2 linked regions of the Caenorhabditis elegans genome follow. The protein of the gene in region 1 purifies or fractionates together with the protein of each later gene. This does not show direct contact. Each region holds a gene or a part of one and is shown on either strand. Other genes may lie near its edges. The genes, in order: T13H5.1 and pcca-1.

The links.
Region 2: the proteins of T13H5.1 (region 1) and pcca-1 fractionate together in Caenorhabditis elegans (co-fractionation; one large-scale study listed by BioGRID). This does not show direct contact.

Annotation. Positions count from the first base shown.
Region 1 is NC_003280.10:8,505,905-8,510,784, forward strand, and holds the start of T13H5.1 (Receptor-type tyrosine-protein phosphatase kappa), read right to left. Parts: upstream 3,152-4,880; 5' UTR 3,062-3,151; coding exon 3,055-3,061; intron 2,963-3,054; coding exon 2,864-2,962; intron 1,584-2,863; coding exon 1,471-1,583; intron 1,425-1,470; coding exon 1,305-1,424; intron 1,212-1,304; coding exon 1,152-1,211; intron 747-1,151; coding exon 673-746; intron 629-672; coding exon 582-628; intron 1-581.
Region 2 is NC_003284.9:7,656,913-7,662,836, reverse strand, and holds pcca-1 (Propionyl-CoA carboxylase alpha chain, mitochondrial), read left to right. Parts: upstream 1-1,850; 5' UTR 1,851-1,858; coding exon 1,859-1,935; intron 1,936-1,987; coding exon 1,988-2,082; intron 2,083-2,132; coding exon 2,133-2,332; intron 2,333-3,073; coding exon 3,074-3,724; intron 3,725-3,771; coding exon 3,772-4,059; intron 4,060-4,114; coding exon 4,115-4,819; intron 4,820-4,873; coding exon 4,874-5,032; 3' UTR 5,033-5,325; downstream 5,326-5,924. Other genes in the region: dhs-29 (NADP-retinol dehydrogenase), read left to right, coding at 263-431, 524-696, 739-841; F27D9.12 (RING-type domain-containing protein), read left to right, coding at 5,873-5,924. UniProt on the Caenorhabditis elegans protein: This is one of the 2 subunits of the biotin-dependent propionyl-CoA carboxylase (PCC), a mitochondrial enzyme involved in the catabolism of odd chain fatty acids, branched-chain amino acids isoleucine, threonine, methionine, and valine and other metabolites.

The sequences.
Region 1 (4,880 bases):
CTTTTGGCAACTCAATATTGCCACAAACTGTATATTCTCTTTAACTTTAACTTTGAAACCCCATCAATATTGATATGTTCATTGAAACAACCATTGGGAGTTTATGGGATTTTTCGTTATTATTGATTTTCGGACTGTCTGTTACGGGAACCCCTCATCGCTTTCTTTAATTTTTTGAGTGACAATAGGTTATGAAAAACGGGGGGTACGCGGCGAAGTTCCCACCTGTAAACATTGACTGTAAAGATTATTTCAAACCCCATTACATGAATGCTTAAAATTATTTTGTTGATGTTTTTTTTTTTAATTTTAGGATGTTCTTTATTCTCGGACTTACTAACATACCACAGTCGTTTTAACAATTGATTAAAACCATCAACAACTCATTAACTCTATTCAAAGTTCAACTGTTCATTTTTAATTTTTTCCCCTATATATGTGACATATTTGATCTACGTGAACCTTGACATTTTCTTGATCTCTTGTTTGTACACCATGTTGCAAGTGTACTTCAAACTATTCGAAACGTTCCTACATTCCTCTATCCTACTGTCCTACTTTAACTTTCAATGTAAACTCACTTATCATCTTTTTTGCCAGCTTTTTCGCAATCGCCTCCTCCTTCTCTCTGAAAAGTTCCTTATGCATACGATTTTTAATTTGCAAACTCACTGTTTTTGGGACAATCCATAGAGCATGGAACGTAATCCCGGCTCGGCATCTCGAACACTTTTTGATTTCCTTGCCTTAAATGATATGATTTCAAAAATGGATTCAAGAAAATTTTAATATTAGTTTTAATCTGGACAATTTATAAACAACACAAAGTCCAGCTCACATTTAAAAAAAATATTTTAACACTGAAAAACATTGTACTGTAAATAATTTTCATATTTCTAAAAAGGGTTCTTTTTTTCAATTGTCAATTAATTTTTTAAAAAACGAGGTTTGTTAGAGACACCAAAAGACAATCAGCTTTAGACGCAGACAAAAACGTCACTCATCAGTAATCAGTAAATGAGACCGAGAGAAAACTGACGTACAGACATAAATACAATGTAACAAGAAACGATGATTGATTGTTGAATTGTGAGCACAAAAGCCAGTTTTAATAATTGAGAACATGAACATCAATAATCTACTTACGATACCTTAGACGGTTTGAATAATCTCATCATGATGTGGTCCATACTTTTAAATTTTCTTGGTGGCTAAATTAATATTTTTATGTAAAGAATGAGTATTTCAAAATAAACATTTTAATTAAACTTTGATAATTTAAATCAGGTAAACCATCAACTCACTCTATTAATTCCTTCAATTGGTTCCCCATTCTCATTGAAATATGCAGATGATGAGGGACGACTTCGTCGGATTGACGAAGCAGGTGTAGAGTCTCGACGACTGCTCCGCCGAGAATTTATCTGAAGTTTAAAAATGTATTTGTATAATTTCGAAAGTATAACTAACCTCATTGATATTATCAACAACGTCACTTGGAGAGACAACAAAATCGTCACCTTCTTCGTTTCGCACACGAATCGATACAGATGCCATTGGATCTTCGAGCTCGTCCTGGTGTTCTGTAACAATAATTCTTTTAAAAAATAAATGCCTAAAATTTGGAAGTATTACATATATTGGAATTTTTCAAAATGTACCAAACATTAGCATATGCATATGATTAGTTAGAAATTATAACTTACTGATGCATAATTGTGTTAATCTATAAAAATATATGTACAGTCATGAAAAATATGAAAGTCTTGTTATTTTTAAACAATGCAGTAGGTGAGTTCATTTCAAGCTCAAGAATGCTAACTAAGTAAGTAAATATTATCGTAAAATTATTTAAATGTCCAAAAAAATTCGATACAAAAAATAAAAGAAAAGCAGTTACTGAAAAACAAAACGTTACAATTTTTAGAGTGTCAACTCTTGGAAGAAAAACCCACAAAACTGTGTTACACTTGACAAAAAAGTTGCGAAAAGTCAAAGGGTGTGGTTTTGAGAAAATCATTGAGGTACGTAAACTTTAAAAGCCAATATCAAATTTAAAAATTGTATTGAAAATGAAGAAAATAAGTGAACTGTGAAATTGGGGGTAGACTGTCTACTTCAAAGGAATTCCCCCCTTGACTTGCAACTATAAAAACACTCTAACCCCAGTGTCAGCAGAAAGGCATTCAAAAAAACGTTGTGGAAGATATACAGTGCTTTCGGAGCAGAAGCCCCTGGGTGAGCCGACGGAGCGAAGAGCAACACAAATATTATGAGGACGATTTCGCCGGCTTTTTGGGGACGGCACCCCCACTTGAAATTTTCCAGAAAATAGTGTAGGATTGAGAGAGTCGAAGAGAAAAATAAGAACTATGATCAGAGAAGGGGTGAGAATCGGACAAACTGACTTAGAGTTACAATTGATATTTGGAAAAGGTAGAAATATTGATTAAATTGAAAAAAAGTGGAGTGGAACAATGTAAAATTGAGAACAATTGGAAAAATTGGAAGAATGCGGAAACTTGAAGCACTTTCTTCAGAAATAATAGAAAATTATGAAGGACCCTTAAAATATTTGAAGTAGAACAAAAGAGCACACAAATGTCCGAAGCAGAGGAAGATTATTGATGGAAGTGTGAAATTTAAGACAAAAATGAAAACAACAGCAGAAAAAGAAATCGAGAAATAAATTTATCAAGGTAGGATAATTTAAATGTTTCAATTAACTATCCCTTTAATAATCAGAAAATCAGAATATAACTTAGAGAATAATAGGCACGTTAAACATTTACCAAAAACGTTTTATGACAGGTATTACAACATAGACATTCTGGATCCAGATGAGCAAATAAAAATGGCTTACCATCATGAGGACTAACAAGACCATTTCCATTCATATCCAACTTTACATCCTTTGGCTTTCGTCGAAAAAATGAAGAAAATTTGCTTGTGCTGTTTGATTCTGAAAAACACCGAATTACTTTAACTGGTTGAAAACATTTTAGTGTGATTTACAAAAGACTATTTTTGCATTTTATGATAAAGTTGACCTACCAATCATTTCGAGCTTTCTACAAAAACAAACTCAATAATAAATATGAACCAGAAGCATGAAGATTTCTTCGAGTTCAGCAAAAATCTTATCTGCAAAAATAGATCAGTGATTTTGTTGTGGTTTTTGCTTGACTTGTCAATCCAGTCATATTTTGAGGTTCAAGGGGGCCCGGTGATCCAATAGTGAGAAAAAGAAGAGAGAGTGTGAGAGTTGAAGAGAATTAGAGACATTATGAGATGAGTTTATGAGATGAGTAATTTATGAAATGAGTTGAAGCATTGTTGGGAGGGAAAATGATATTGGAACGGAAAACTGAAAAAAAACAAAACGTCACTGATAAAATAAATCAGATTAGAAATGAAGAATATTATTTAAGAATATTATAAGCAAGGAAGCAAAATTCCTTAATAAAAAAGCAAATGGGAAAAGAAATTTGAAAGTATCAACATGGATTTTTCAGTATGTGATCTTTTTCATTCAAATGTTGGCATCTAAAAAGGAGCATCAAGTGCAGAGAAAAGACCATCACGAGTCCCAGAAAAAATTTAAAAATTAATGGAGTTTTCTTGATGAAAGATGAAGAAGCATAAGACGGCACTTGTGATGTCCCGAGCAGGTTTCCGGTTGGTTGTTTTATATCAGTTCAAAATTTAAAAAAGAAAAAAAGGTGCAGCATTTGAAAATTTAATCAATGCTGTTTTTATGTAATGTTTTCAAGATGTTAAATTTCAATAGGTTGGTAAAAATTCTGGTTGTAAACGGAAAAAAAGTTTGGGACAAAAAAGTTTTCCACTCGGGCGTGAATTTACAATTTTTCAGGAACACATAACTCACTCATAGTCCGAGAAAAATGCAAAAAACGGGTTAAACGAAAAATGAAGTTCATTGAAAATTCGGTGTTTTGCTGATGAATAGTCAACAATGAAATGGCTCAAGGGAAACTAGACAATGGCAAGCAAAATGTGAACAAACTTTGGAAACCACTTTGCATATGTTGAAGACGTCATAGTACTGTAGATGGAATAGCTAACTTGACTGAAATAAAAAATGGCACAAAAAGTTATAGAGTTAGCAATTTCATGCAATTGCGCTGAAGTAAGTAATTTTGTAAGCTTGTTATTGTGGCCAAAAATTGATTTACTTTCATCCGAATTTTTTTTTACTTTGACACACCATTAAAAAACGTTTAGTAATTTCTGACACGTCTCATTACAAAATTGAGGCCATTTTAATTCCAATAGAGCTATTACTCAAATTTATTTTCTCAGCCTTTAACTGTTTCTGTTGTAAACTACCGTACCCTACCAGTTACTAATTTATTATGAAATTGTTTTAGCCCTTTGTAGATGATGAATGATGTATTGAACTGTATAAGATTTTGAAAAAAAGAAGTGAGTCACAAAATGACAGAGGTGTCTATATCTCTTTAATAATGAAAAGAGCATAGACTGCTCTCGATAGGTAACTCGAGATATCGTTTAGTTTTATGCCGGTCTGCGGTTAAAAAGACAGACACGAGAAGAACGTAAAACCGACGAATAGGAAAATCTTAAAGAAATAAAGAAAAAGAGGATCTCTGTTGTGTTTTTCTTGTCTCTGTTTTTCAAATGTTAACGACATGATGAGACAAACGGCGGAGCTCCTGCAAGGGAACGAGAGCAACACAGAGAGAAGGACATTTAGTGGTGTTCCCGTTCTCATCAAATGATGAAAATGTTTTGAGGAACAAACTTTGAGAAAATGTGATGAATAAGCTTCAAGACAATTTGAGAAATTTGAAACAAATCGGAATATTAAAATTTATTCCAAAATTGATCAAATATGT
Region 2 (5,924 bases), on another chromosome or scaffold:
CGCAAAAAGAGCTGCCCGAATTGTTTTTCTGTCTGCGTCTAGTTTGTCTTTACACGCTCTATTATTGAGGTCACCATTGGTGTCCTTATTGATTCAGATAGTATCTCCTCTATTACACGAAGACACCCCTTCTTCTATCGTTTGAGAGAATCAAAAAAAAAAGAAACCAACTATTCATCTCCACTTACTTTTTGATTCTCGTACACTATGTAGAATATAGCCAACTAATGATAACATGATAAAATCTAATTTTTTATTTCAGTTTCTGCTCTCTTCAAGTGTGCCGGTCGCTTCGTAATTATTTGGGTGTTAAGTATTCCGCTTCAGATCCATCATTTTGCAAACTGACACTTATTGAAATGTCGGACTATTACAAAACTCCACAACTCTTCTGGTGGCTCCTCATTGTTCCAGCTCTGGCTATCAACTACGTAAGTTTTAAGGTTTCAAGTGAAAAAAAACTATGTTTGATAAAAATAGATATTTCAAAGCTTCCACTTCGATCTATATCTTTGATTTTTAGATTTCTTACGCCCATCCAGCAGCAGCACTTAATATTCCATTAATTGGATCTCTCGTCCATAAGATTGGAACTGAGTATCCATTTGTTGCTCTTTTAACCAACCTTTTCGCCCTTGTAGCACACGCCGGTGAAGCTCTTTACGCTCTTTATCTCTGCCATAAAGCCAATATCAGGTGAACTTTTTCAGTTGATTTTATAACAAATTGTATTTTCAGTTTTGCTTCTACCGCAAAATGGGTTGTCCAAACGTTTATTCTTGGTTTCCCGTCACTCTCTATTCTCAGTCGATACGAAGCCAAGCAGAGGAAGAATAATTGACTAGTAGTTGAAAATGTGTCTGATAGTTCCTAAAATGTATTAATTTTGTTTTTTTTTGCCAATGCAATGAACGACCATTTATTATCAAATAAAATGAAGAAACTCAACGAAACATTCTCAAATAAACAACATGTCGAGAGAAAGGCCAGTGTGTGCAAAGACGCAGAGAAGATCACTGCAAACGCGCTCCGTTGAGGTTGCTGTGTGAGATATCTTGGACAACCCCGCGCATTATTGGACTGTTTTTTGTTGTTTTATTGATCATGTAGTGGTCAATGAGCAGGTCATTCTTGCCTTCGCTGTTGCCAGAGAAGGTCGGCTTTTTTCTTCCCTGTTTTTGGTGATTTTGCCGTTTTTTTTTGTGTATTGAGTGTACTTACTGTGTGAGTCTTTAGATTTTCCGTTTCACGCATACACGTTTTTTGTAAAATTATTAGTTTTTGTAGGACTCTCGGTTCAAAAATTATAGAAAACGTGCAGACTGGACTATGAATTATATTCGAAGTTCTTCATTGTAACATTGTGAGGTCGTCTTTCCAACTCTCAACCTATCCCGGTGATTTTCTCGGTTTCTCTGCGTGTGTGTGTTCAGAGGACGAATACGTGCAAAATCGCAAGAAATGGGCAAAGAGAGAGAGCGGGGCAACTGCGCTTTGGGTCCATCAGAAAAGAGAGATAGACAACTTTTGTGAAAATCTTGTTGCGGGACAAGGGCACCGCACTTCTTGCTTTTCTCTTTTCTGGCCAGGCTATTTACTTCGTTGCTCAGTTGCCATTTCTGCATGTTTTTCTTATTTTTTCTACTAGTCGAAGTTTTCCTTCATAATCAATATAAAGAGAGTTTTCAAGGCATCGCTGTTTATCACTTAACTGACCAAATCAAATCGGTCGTCCTTATCTTTCTCCATCGAAGTTATACACGAAACTGTTTTTCTCCATCATCTTACTTTTTTCTTTTGTGAACTGCTGATGTCGTTGTTCATTTTATCATGAAAATCATTGTTTTTAGGTTGAACCATGCTCCGTGCTGCATCCAGTATCCGCGCTGTGGCCAATCGTGGATTGGCAACTGCTGCTGTTGCCAGACCAGGAGTGTAAGTTTCTGAAAGTTGTATTCGGTTTTGAGATCAATAGGTTCAATTTCAGACCACTTGATGAACGTGAGGGAAAGGAGATTTACACTACTGTAGGAATCGATTACAATGAGCCAAAGTTCGACAAGATTTTGATTGCCAATAGAGGTAATCTCAAGCATCTAAAAGAATCTTAGATTTAATCGTCTATTTTACAGGAGAGATTGCGTGTCGCGTGATCAAAACTGCCAGAGCTATGGGAATCAAGACAGTGGCCGTTCACTCAGATGTCGACAGCAACTCGCTTCACGTAAAGATGGCCGATGAGGCTGTATGTGTTGGAGAAGCTCCAACTGCCAAATCCTACCTACGTGCTGACCGCATCTTGCAAGCTGTCGAGGACACCGGTGCTCAAGCGGTAAGAATTCTAACGTGTCTATGTAATGGAAGGATAAACCGCAAAAATCAAATATCAGAGGAGAATGTAAATTCTGTGGCATGAATCTACATGCACAGTAGCACAAACATATTACCCAGACATCCGACAGAGAATAGAGTTTTTGCAAAAGTTCAGAACACCGCTCCAAATCAACTACTACTGTTCAAGAAGTCAGAGCGTTCGCGCTTAACTTCAAACGGAGAGAATAGCTTAAAAAAGTTGCTGACTGAAAAAATGTGAAATAAAACATTCCCTACATTTTGATAATGCTCAATTTTTTCATGCTCATATCACCTGGCTGAGATATGAGGGTTTGAAGTGATGAAGCTCTAGAGTTCCCTCTTATGGCCTGTTGAAAACTGTGGTGAGGTCAAATTATGAAAAGCACGAATTACCGCATTTTTCAGAGGACAAGCTAGGGTCAAACAGTTTGACAACCCGAGCGAGAGCTTTTGGCTGTGTAGCAGCTTAAGATTTACCGTAATATATTAGAAACCAGTTACTTGTAATATGCACGTGATATTCACCTACTTTCACTACGAAACACAACAAAACAAAAATTCTGTGACAAGTGACCAAGTGGTCTCTTTCCAGTCTCTAGCATCTCGCGTGTTTCATTTTCAAATAGTCAAAGTCAAATGACGAGAGATAGATTGCAAGTGTCTTCTGTTATGTTTTTCAAACAGAACTGCTAAAAACGTTGAAAACATATATTTGCAGGTTCATCCAGGATATGGATTCCTTTCCGAGAACACCAAGTTTGCCGCCGAGCTTGAGAAGGCTGGAGCCAAGTTCATCGGACCAAACTCTAAGGCTATTCTTGATATGGGAGACAAGATTCATTCAAAGAAAATCGCTACCGCAGCCCGTGTCAGCATGATTCCAGGATATGACGGAGAAATTGCTGATGAGGATATGTGCGTGAAAGTCTCCCGCGACATTGGATACCCAGTCATGATCAAGGCTTCTGCCGGTGGTGGTGGAAAAGGAATGCGAGTTGCCTGGAACGACAAGCAAGCTCGTGAAGGATACCGTTTGTCCAAGCAAGAAGCAGCTTCTTCTTTCGGAGATGATCGAATGCTCGTTGAGAAGTTCATTGACAACCCACGGCACATTGAGATGCAGGTGCTCTGCGACAAGCATGGAAACGCTTTGTGGCTCAACGAGCGTGAATGCTCCATTCAGAGAAGAAACCAGAAGGTTATCGAAGAGGCTCCAAGCAGCTTTGTGCCACCAGAGATGAGACGCAAAATGGGAGAACAGGCCGTTCAGCTCGCCAAGGCTGTCGGTTATGACTCTGCTGGAACCGTCGAATTCCTCGTTGATTCTCAGAGAAACTTCTACTTCTTGGAGATGAACACTCGTCTTCAGGTAATATCTCAGTATGGCCTAAATGTTTAATTTTTAAATACTCACAGGTCGAGCATCCAATTACCGAGTGCATCACTGGAATCGATATTGTCCAACAGATGCTTCGCGTTTCCTACGGTCACCCACTTCCAATCACCCAAGAGCAAGTGCCACTCAACGGATGGGCTTTCGAGTCTCGTGTCTACGCCGAGGATCCATACAAGGGATTCGGTCTTCCATCAGTCGGACGTCTCTCCAGATATGTTGAGCCAAAACACGTCGACGGAGTTCGTTGCGACTCTGGAATCCGTGAGGGATCGGAAATCTCTATCTACTACGATCCACTTATCTGCAAGGTAAAGGATAAATTAGCATTTAGATAATTTCAAGTGACTTACTTTGTAATTTCAGCTCGTTACGCACGGAGACAACCGTGAACAGGCTCTGAACCGCATGCAAGAGGCTCTCGACAACTACGTCATTCGTGGAGTCACTCACAACATTCCACTTCTTCGTGATATTGTCCAAGAGAAGAGATTCCGTACTGGAGACATTACCACCAAATATCTTCCAGAAGTGTACCCAGAAGGCTTCCAGGGAACCAGCCTCTCACCAAAAGAGCAAGACGTTGTCATTGCCTTTGCCTCGGCTCTCAACGCTCGTAAACTTGCTCGTGCCAATCAATTCTTGAACCAGAACAAACAACGTAGCACTCATGTGGCTTCCTTCTCGAAGACCTACAAGTTCGTGTCTTCTCTGCCAGTGAAGGAGGGTGAGAGGCCAACCGAGCACGCTGTTGAAGTCGAATTTGTCGAAGGAAGCGCCAACAAGGCCCAAGTTCGTATTGGTGGAAAGACTGTGACTATCAGTGGAGATCTCAACTTGTCTCATCCAGTCAACTCAATTGAAGTCGATGGAGAGCACATCACCACCCAAATTGTTGGCAAGCGCGCCGGAGAGATCACCGTTCTTTACAAGGGAACTCCATTCAAGGTCAAGGTGCTTCCAGAGCAGGCCGTCAAGTACTTGCAGTACATGAAGGAGAAGGCCAAGGTTGACTTGTCCACAGTTGTGCTCTCACCAATGCCAGGAGCAATCAAGAACGTCAACGTTAAGGTAACATTATTTTATCACTACCATTAGATGTGCTAAAACTGATTCAATTTACAGCCAGGAGATATGGTTTCCGAGGGACAAGAGTTAGTTGTCATGGAGGCTATGAAGATGCAGAACAGTCTTCATGCTGGAAAGACCGGACGCGTCAAGGCCGTCAATGTGAAGGTTGGAGCCACAGTCGACGAGGGAGAGGTGCTCGTTGAGCTCGAGTAGATTATTCTCACTGAACCTGAATTTTTTTTGTTGTTTTAATTACCGTTTTTTTCCTAATTTTGTACAATTCAAAGCCGCCACTATCTGGTATGGAGATTGATAATTTCATTCGCAGTTTCTCAAATTTCAAGCCATATTTATATTTTATTTTTGATGCCATTACCCTCACCTGTTGTATTCCAATCATCACGGACGTATTTCTCAGCCACCACCCTGTTTTGTTGCCCCAAGTATTATGTAGTGAATAAATATTGTAGAAGGCATTGCAAAAAGGTTGTTATATGAAGAAAAAAAAGCATTTGCTCATTTTTTGAACTTTTCAATTAGAAAATTATATATCTATTCTGTTTCTACATAACATAAGTGCAGATGTTTTGTTGATTAAATTTTCTATTTTTTGTGAAATAGCTTGTGTAAACTAAACATTTTACCATAGTCCATAATTGAAGCTCGGAAATAAGCGTTGTGAAAAAACTTGTCAGTTTGCAAATCTGTTTTAAAAATTTCAGATTTCTCTTTTTTATGTTCTTCTTTCATGTATCTCAATTTCAAAATATTGAATAGCAGTGCCAATTGATTATTCTGAAAGAAAATTGACAAAAAGACGAGTTGAGACGAGAAGATGAAACAGAAAATGATGGGAAGAAGAAAAAGAAGAATTTTTCTTCCAGTTTTTTTTGCCGTTTTCTGTTCTTTTCAATCTCATTTTAACTCACGTTTTTTGGTTTCGTGTGAGTAGTGTCACACTGATATTGTTAAATTCTGTTAACTTCTAGTTGAGAAAATAAATAATGTCAATATTTTAATAAAACTTACTTGTAGCACTTTCAGATCTGTAAGATGTCTAGTATCGGTATAAGTAGATACGAAGACGGGGAAGAGAACTGTTGCA